Oryza sativa Japonica Group: one gene and its partner. Each later gene encodes a partner of the first gene's protein in a complex. Links are inferred from orthologs where the notes say so. Each region holds a gene or a part of one and is shown on either strand. Other genes may lie near its edges.

What was found. Proteins that work in one complex are often made in the same cells at the same time.
Region 2: large ribosomal subunit protein bL28c (region 1) and large ribosomal subunit protein bL34c share a complex: the UniProt entries of both Arabidopsis thaliana proteins name them as parts of the 50S ribosomal subunit. The link is inferred for Oryza sativa Japonica Group from reciprocal best matches to the Arabidopsis thaliana genes PRPL28 and AT1G29070.

Annotation. Positions count from the first base shown.
Region 1 is NC_089039.1:104,682-108,911, reverse strand, and holds large ribosomal subunit protein bL28c, read left to right. Parts: upstream 1-1,430; 5' UTR 1,431-1,473; coding exon 1,474-1,654; intron 1,655-3,269; coding exon 3,270-3,502; 3' UTR 3,503-3,819; downstream 3,820-4,230.
Region 2 is NC_089035.1:34,740,153-34,743,824, forward strand, and holds large ribosomal subunit protein bL34c, read right to left. Parts: upstream 2,351-3,672; 5' UTR 2,327-2,350; coding exon 2,083-2,326; intron 970-2,082; exon of another isoform or gene 969-969; coding exon 709-968; 3' UTR 536-708; downstream 1-535. Other genes in the region: uncharacterized protein, read left to right, coding at 2,584-3,672. UniProt on the Arabidopsis thaliana protein: This protein binds directly to 23S ribosomal RNA.

The DNA of each region.
Region 1 (4,230 bases):
GCAAATTTCTTCAATCCATATCACTTCCATCATTTAGTGTCAGTTCTCTGTTCTCACACGCCGACGAGTTCATTCGTCCACCACGAAAGGAGCTCCTCTGACTTAAAGTTAGAAGGATATGAGTCCTTGACAGGTGCGGCCCACCTTTATAGGCCCACATGTTAGAGATGCATGTCCCTTTGACTTAAGTTAGAGGAGCCTTGTCGGTCCACCACACACCAACACTGGTAGGACAGACAACAATCCTCCACACCGCCTGCGAGAGGGTCCTCTTCCTGTCTTCCTGGCCATCAAGGAGGAGAGAATCAACTCCACATCTTCTCGGGTGACCTCTTTGATAGCTCCTTCGGCGAGGGATGGGTGGGCGGAAGTCAAGGAGGCTGTTCTTGAAGACGGAAAAGAGAAGTAGGGGCCGGCTCGACCTCGACCCGGTGTTGCGATGTCGTCGCGAGCATGCCGGTCTGTCTCCTCCGAGAGCTCCACTGTCTCCACTTCAAAAGCCATCAACGAGGAGGAGCCCAAGAGCGATGTGGAGGAGTATGAGGAAGAGGAGGAGGTGGACCAGTGGGTAGAAGTGTGCTATCTGGAATGGAGGTTGATGCGAAGGGGATCTGGAAGTGGGAGCCAGACTTTTGCTACTGTCCCCATCTTGGATGCTCGCGAGAATGTGTGGGAGTTGGTGGTGTGCGACACGACATTGTCCCTCTAGTTCACTTGCTTCTTCCCCAACACCTCCATCAACAACGTCACCCTCCGCATGCGTACTCATCTTCATCACTACCGCTTGAGCTCAAGTTTTGCCGCCACCACCGCAGCACCCCCTTCCCATCCCCGCGGCTCCTCACACTCCTGACACGACTGGGCTTTCCTGCAGATAGCTCATGAGCTCGAACTCGCCGGCTCCCTCACCTACCTCCTCTTCTCCCCCGTCGTGGACCACTGGAGCCACCTCATCACTGACCTCCCACCACCATTACCACCTCCCGTGGATGGGCTCGCTGGCCGCCGCCCCTCTCCCCACTGGAGGAGATGGGAAAGAGAGGGGGGAGGTGGAGAGATGGGGAAGAGAGGGGACAGGTTGGGAGGAAGTCCACTTTAAATTTTAATTTTCTGATTGGTATGCCACGTTAGTGAAACCAGTCATCCATAATACCATGAGACTGACTTGGAAGGTTTTTCCAAAATGGGGGGGAGGGGGTGAAGATTGCTGGTATTGCGGTTTAGAGATACCATTAAACTCGACGTAAAATAAGGGATAATAAGTGGACTTATCACTGTGAGTAATACTAGTAGTAATGAGAGTTGGGCTTGGGCCGCCCTTTTCTACAGTACTACGATATATGGGCCCCTGCTCACACAGTACATAGAGAGACGATTATGATAGGATAGGAGAAACAAGTTGTACGCCACGCCGCAGCCGCACAAGACTTGATCCTCTTCTTCTTCTTCTTCTTCCTCCAGGCTCCAGTGGCGATGGCGACCATGCTCTGCTCCTTCACGCCCGCCACCAGGGCTCCGCTCCTTCGCACTTCCTCCTCCTCTTCCTCTCTCGGCTTCGCCACCTCGCAACTCGCCGGCCTCAGCCTCGGCCTCTCCGCCGCAGCCACCACCGCGCCCTCCGCCGCCGGTCCCAAGCTCCACCCCATCCTCGCGCGTACGTCATCTGCCTCCTCCTTCTTCTCTCTGTTTCGAGCCATCCACCCGCAGATTGACATTACAGTTTTATATTACACCACCAATGTCATTTCTGCTACTATTAAAGTTGTTACTTTATCCTTCGTTTTTTTTTTGCGCTATCCAATACTCCACTGTATATATACTACTACTAGAACCAGATGACCTATTTGTTAGTAATTGATTGCTTTAATCTCTCGAAAATAGACTAGCTGTCAATCTATTACCATAAACTCAGATCTTTCTTTGTATTTTTAAGAGAATGGAAGCTTTATTGAATTTGGTCGTTCTTTGCACCATGTCAGTGCACAACCAATAGATACCACACAACAAGAAAAACAGAACTAACTCAACGATTAAGGACCTAATATCGGAAGACTAGGTTGCCGCTCATGTGCCTGGGTAAAAAAAAAAAACCTTGACCACATGCTCCAAATGAAGACAAGCCGAACAGACAAAACCCCTGTAATCTGGCTTCTTGAGAATAATCCATGATCGGAGCCAATGTGTGATCAAGAAAATAACCTGCAAAGAAGAAGAAACAATTTTCCTGTCAAAAATCACATCATTCCTTTATAGCCAAATAGCCCAACAAGTCAACTCCTAGTAGAAAAGGAGGCCTAGACTCTTTGTTTTGTCGCAAACTCCATTGTCCAGACATATGTGACACACTCCTAGGTGAAGAAATGTTCGATGCAATCTGGATTAAAGACCAAACTGATCGGGCTAGCCGACATTCAAAAAATAAATGCTTTATCGTTTCTTCCTTGTGGTAAAAACAATAGGTCTTATTCCCTTTTCAATTCCGTTTAGCCAGGTTATCTTTTGTTAACACCACCCCTCGACATAAATACGATAGAAACATTTTCACTTTGAGAGGGATTTTTAACTTCTAGATATGTTTGTTAAAATTGGGAACTCTTGTATGTGCAAGATAATGAGTTTTAACCAAGAATCTTCCATCAGGTGTTAGATTCAATTTAAAGTCATCTTTCTCGTGTGACAACACTATATTAGCAATGCGTGGAAAGAGATGATTCCACGCCACTAACTTAAGGCCAATAATATCCTTGCGCCAAGTGAAATTTAACAGGGTTGTTTAGAATATATTTGAAATGGTTGCTTGTTTATGTCTGACAACCATCTCTTTGTTTCTCTAAGACATAAGCAGAGCTTCTTCTTCTTACTAGTGTATATAAGAAAGAAGGGGGAAAAGAAAAAATATAACTATTCTGGCCATTTCAAGTTATAGTTTTAGTTTTATTCTAAGTCAACCATTCATAACTTTAACTATCAATTTCTTATTTAAAAAGATAATTGTGACTTATCAATTTCTAGAAATTTGTAAAGTTTAACAACATGTTAATTGTACTATATATTATGAAGGTACTTTTCATGATGCATATATAAACACATAAATATTATGATATTAAATGTTTGGCTTATGATAAAGTTAAGGACAAGTAATTTAAAAGGGTGAGATTATACTTTATCTTTTGTTTGCATGATGCCACAAATTATAGAAACTAGTAGTAGTAGGAACAAGATGGCGTGTATGGTGATGTTGTTGTATGATGTGGGGGTGGGTGACTCAGGCCGGATATGCCCCTTCACGGACAAGAAGACCAACAGGGCGAACAAGGTGTCCTTCTCAAACCACAAGACGAAGAAGCAGCAGTTTGTGAACCTGCAGTACAAGAAGCTGTGGTGGGAGGAAGGCAAGCGCTTCGTCAAGCTGCGTCTCTCCACCAAAGCCCTCAAGACCATCGAGAAGCATGGCCTCGACGCCGTCGCCAAAAAGGCCGGCATCGACCTCAACAAGAAATAAATCAAATCATCATCATCATGATGCATACATACATGTATTCTCTCATCAATTGCCGCTGTGCTGAATAGACCAGAGCTGTATGTAGTCCATTATTAAATCCATTCATCTCGATGATGCAATTTATTGTAGAGTACTACAGTATGCATTCATCGGTGGTGGTGGCCGGCTTCGTTTCCTTAAATTTCCTTTTATCCCGTGTTGCTGCTGCAAGTCCGGCTCGAATTGTTTGCTACTAGTGTTTCATTTCGGTCGAGTTCCTAATTAATACTGTATGTTGGTTACGAATTATAAGATGGATGGATGTAACTTGAGCAGCATCAGGTCGTGCAGTTGGCATCTTGCGCTTTTCACTTTAGAGTGTCTTCCAGTCTAAGCTGAAATTGATTAATTATTTTATTTCCTTTTTGGCTATTGATATTTAATAAGAGCCTAAATGAAAGAATTAACTTGTACAAAATTGAAAAGCTGTTTGTTTTGTACAAAAGGAACTCCTACGCCAATATTGATTGTTCTACTGCTATGGCCTGTCTGGTTTGAGATAGCTGAAATTGATGGATTGTTTTATTCCCCTTTTTAGCTATTGATATTTAATAAGAGCCTAAATGAATAATGAACCCCTACAAAATTAGAAGGTTGTTTTTTTTCTCTCTAAAAATGTAGAGACGAGAAAAAGGTGTTGAGTTGTAGACGTGGAGCAACCCGGCAGCTCCACACACGCGCAACCTCTG
Region 2 (3,672 bases), on another chromosome or scaffold:
CGGCGAGGGACGGCCAGGGCTTGTGTTCTCGGTGACCTTGAGGATGGAAGGCGGCTTGCCGATGCGAGTGAAGAAGAGGAGGGATTCAGTTTGTTAGAATGTAAATGTTCTCTTTGCTACTTGTTGCCTTTCATTTATTCCAGGTTGAGTTCTGGATATTATCCATTTTTTCGCCTGATAGTAGCAAAATTATAAGGTGACAGAGGATTGGATGGGCAATCAGGTTGTTTTACAAATAAGTGTGTACCAAAGAGATTGGCACAGAGGAGGTGGATAAATTGTGTTACACAGTGGAGCATGGAGTGACTATGATGAGATGATCTGAATATTAAAATTCACTGGACTGTATCAGAAAATAAAAGGGACGTTCTACTACAGAATAGAAAAATTGATGAGTTTATTTGAGCAACTGCTCAAGTTAGCATTTAGGCCCTTTGGCAAAATCTATGCTCAGAATGCAGTCAAGATAGATCAGAGGAAAACCATGGCAATGCAGATCAAGGAGAACATATTCCCACAGCAAACAACTACTAAATACTGCACAAGCAAAAAGGCTAACTTGAATTTGTGTTGATAATGTACTTCACACATTAACCGGACACCGGGTGAAGGATTTGCACCAATTGTTATGGTTGAGTATAACCGAGAACGTGGGATAAAAAAATACACTTACAATTGTGACAAAGAGCGACTTAGAATGCGATTCAATCAGAACATTCGTTTCTTCCCAGTGGGGGAGTTCGTCTTTGTGCAGAGAACCCTTCTTCCTTTGGCGCGTCTGCGCTTCAGGACCTTTCTTCCGGCAGTAGTCCTCATCCGTCTGCGAAAACCATGTGTACGGGCAAGCGACTTCCTAGATCTATTTCTCTTGGTCATGCACAGAGCAGCCTTTCCAGCCCTAATCTGCAGAATCCGGGATCTTCCTGTTGTAACTCTGTTGTAGCTGAATTCAATTCCCAAAGATGAACCTGAAATATGTAACATATTAGGATACTGAAATCATTTGTAGGTTGGAACAAATATGGTTTGATACATAAGAACATGGATTTGCTAAATACAACAGTACAGCACAGAAACCGGCTATTTGATTGCCCTTAGTTTGTGTTTTTGTTCTCTAAGATCATTTGGAAAAAAACTCTAGTATGTAAAGTACAGTTCATTTTCCAAAAGGATAATATCATTGCAATAGTTCCTTTAATCTAACGTTATTGGCTTGTTTTAGGAGCATTTTGGTTTTGCTTTAGGTGGCAAGGCTATTAATTGTAACTGAACTGTTTAAAAAGTTGAGTTGTCCAGTTAAACGTTCTTGATTCAGTGATTTCGTTAGTTCGTAGTATAATTATGTTAGATGATATATTTCATAATGAGTTTACTAAATTAAGCTCATGCGCTCGCTCCAAAAAGTGGAGTTTCCTGAGTTTTTGTGATGTTTTCATGATTCTGTCGCAAGAATGTACTACAATCTACAGTCCATCTGGCACTACTGGAAATCACAATATCAGTATCACAGTACATGGAGGAAGAAAAGAAACTTTCAGCCGTGTAGGTTTCCTAACATGGAACCATCTAGAACTAATCACTGAATTATGAATATATATACACGTTCTTACACTAAAAAACTGGATGTGTAAACAAGTGATTTTTTTTAATCTTAATCGGAATCCACATCTTAAGCAAAATTCTCTAGCACATGGTTAACTATAAGAATGCGTGGGCTTTAGGATCAGACATTGCAGATTATAACAAGCTGCGTACAGCAGCTAACAAGTACGGCAGAGTTTGAATTTAAGATTTCTCAGGAAATTGCCAGAATACCATCAGAACTTTCAAATATATCAATTGCATTAAAATCGCTAGTTTAGTTTAGTTATCTTCTGACATTAAGCACTGATTAACTGTACACGCTACCTATCTGACAGTATAAACACTCCATTGTACAGTACTTAAAGCCGAAACCAGCAGCACAAAAGTTCATTCCTCCCTTTCTCTTTGCAGGCAACTCTCTCCTCCATCTAGTTCCCCAACCCAAATGGTAGCAACAGAACGAAGCGAATCAGGAACGAGTAAAGTACACATTCTCACCAGCAAATGAGGAGGCAGAGGTGAAGGTCAGCGACGCCGAGACCGCGGCAGAGAGCGCGGCGGGGGAGGCGGAGGCGGATGACGTGGAGGAGGAGGAGACGAAGGAGCTCCGGAGGAACGGGGTGGCGGCGGCGCCCATCGGGGATGCCCTGCGAGAGCGGAGGCCGCCGCCGATAGCCGCCGCTGAGATCCTCCCGGAGTGGAGTGAGAGAGCCGCCATTGGCGAGACGAGGGCGAGCGCCATGTTTGGGGAGTCGAGGTGCGGTGCAGGGCTATGGCTATCCCCACACAATGTTGCTTTATCGTCTTATCCACGACGAGATGCGATTCTTGGGCCAAATCATGGGCCTTCGTCTTAGGCCCACTCATGTTAGGCCCATTAAGAGGAACAGTTCGTCGTCTTCCTAGAAACAAGTTCACCACCGTCCGCCGCCTGCAGACGGGGCTTTATTACACAATCAGCCACCAGATCTCATCGCCGTCGGCCGTCGCCGTCGCCGGATGGACCCGAGCCGGCCGTTGCTGGGGCGGGGCGCCCTCATCACCTCCTCCGCCCACGCCGCCGCCGCCCTCTTGCTCGTCGCCTTCCTCTTCCTCACCCTCCGCAACCTCCCCATCTCCCTCTCCCCTCCCACCGCCGCCTTGACGCCCACCACGTCCCACCTGGAGCAGCAGGATCAGGCCAGCTGCGACACCACCTCCACGCTCGACTGCGCCGACCCGCAGCTCTTCCACCTCATGATGCGCCGCGCCATCGACGCCTTCCCCGACGTCCACTTCAACCGCTTCGGCCGCCCCGTCCCCGGCGACCCGCCGTCGTCCTCCTGCGACATGGCCTGGCGCGCCCGATCCACCGCCTCCGCCAACTACAAGGACTACCGCCGCTTCTCCGTCGCCCGCGACCCCGTCACCTGCGCCTACTCCGTTACCTCCATCGGGGAATACCACTCCGGCCCCCTCGCCCGCAAGCCCCGCCGCGGCGGGACCAACGCCACCGCCCCGCCGCCCCCACCCGCGCTCTCGCGCTCCCAGTTCGCCGCGGGCAAGTACCTCTCTTACCTTGGCGGCGGCGACCGGTGCAAGCCCATGCCGCATTATCTTCGTAGTCTCCTCTGCTCCATCGCCGAGGCCCGCTACCTCAACCGCACCCTCGTCCTCGATCTCAGCGTCTGTCTCGCCGCCGCCTACGCCGGGGGCATGCCCGAGGAGGGCAAGCGCCTCGCCTTCTATATTGACATTGAGCACCTGCAATCCGTGGTCGGGATCGTTGAACACAAGCGGTTCTGGGAGGATTGGGACAAGTGGGGAGCACAGGGTCAGCTTGGAGTCCGCATCATCGAGGACAGCAGGGTTGCGCCCACCAAGTTCTCCAAGTCGAGGGATCCCCTGATCGTTAGGAAATTTGGGGACGTGGAGCCAGGGAATTATTGGTACAATGTGTGCGAGGGCGAAGCTGAGCATGTCCTCCGTCCACCGCAGGGAGCAATACGCACGGCGCCAAGCTTGATGGACATTGTTGATGGTATCATATCAAGGATGCAAGTAGATTTTGACTCTGTTCATGTTGGTGGCAATGATGGGAACCTCAGA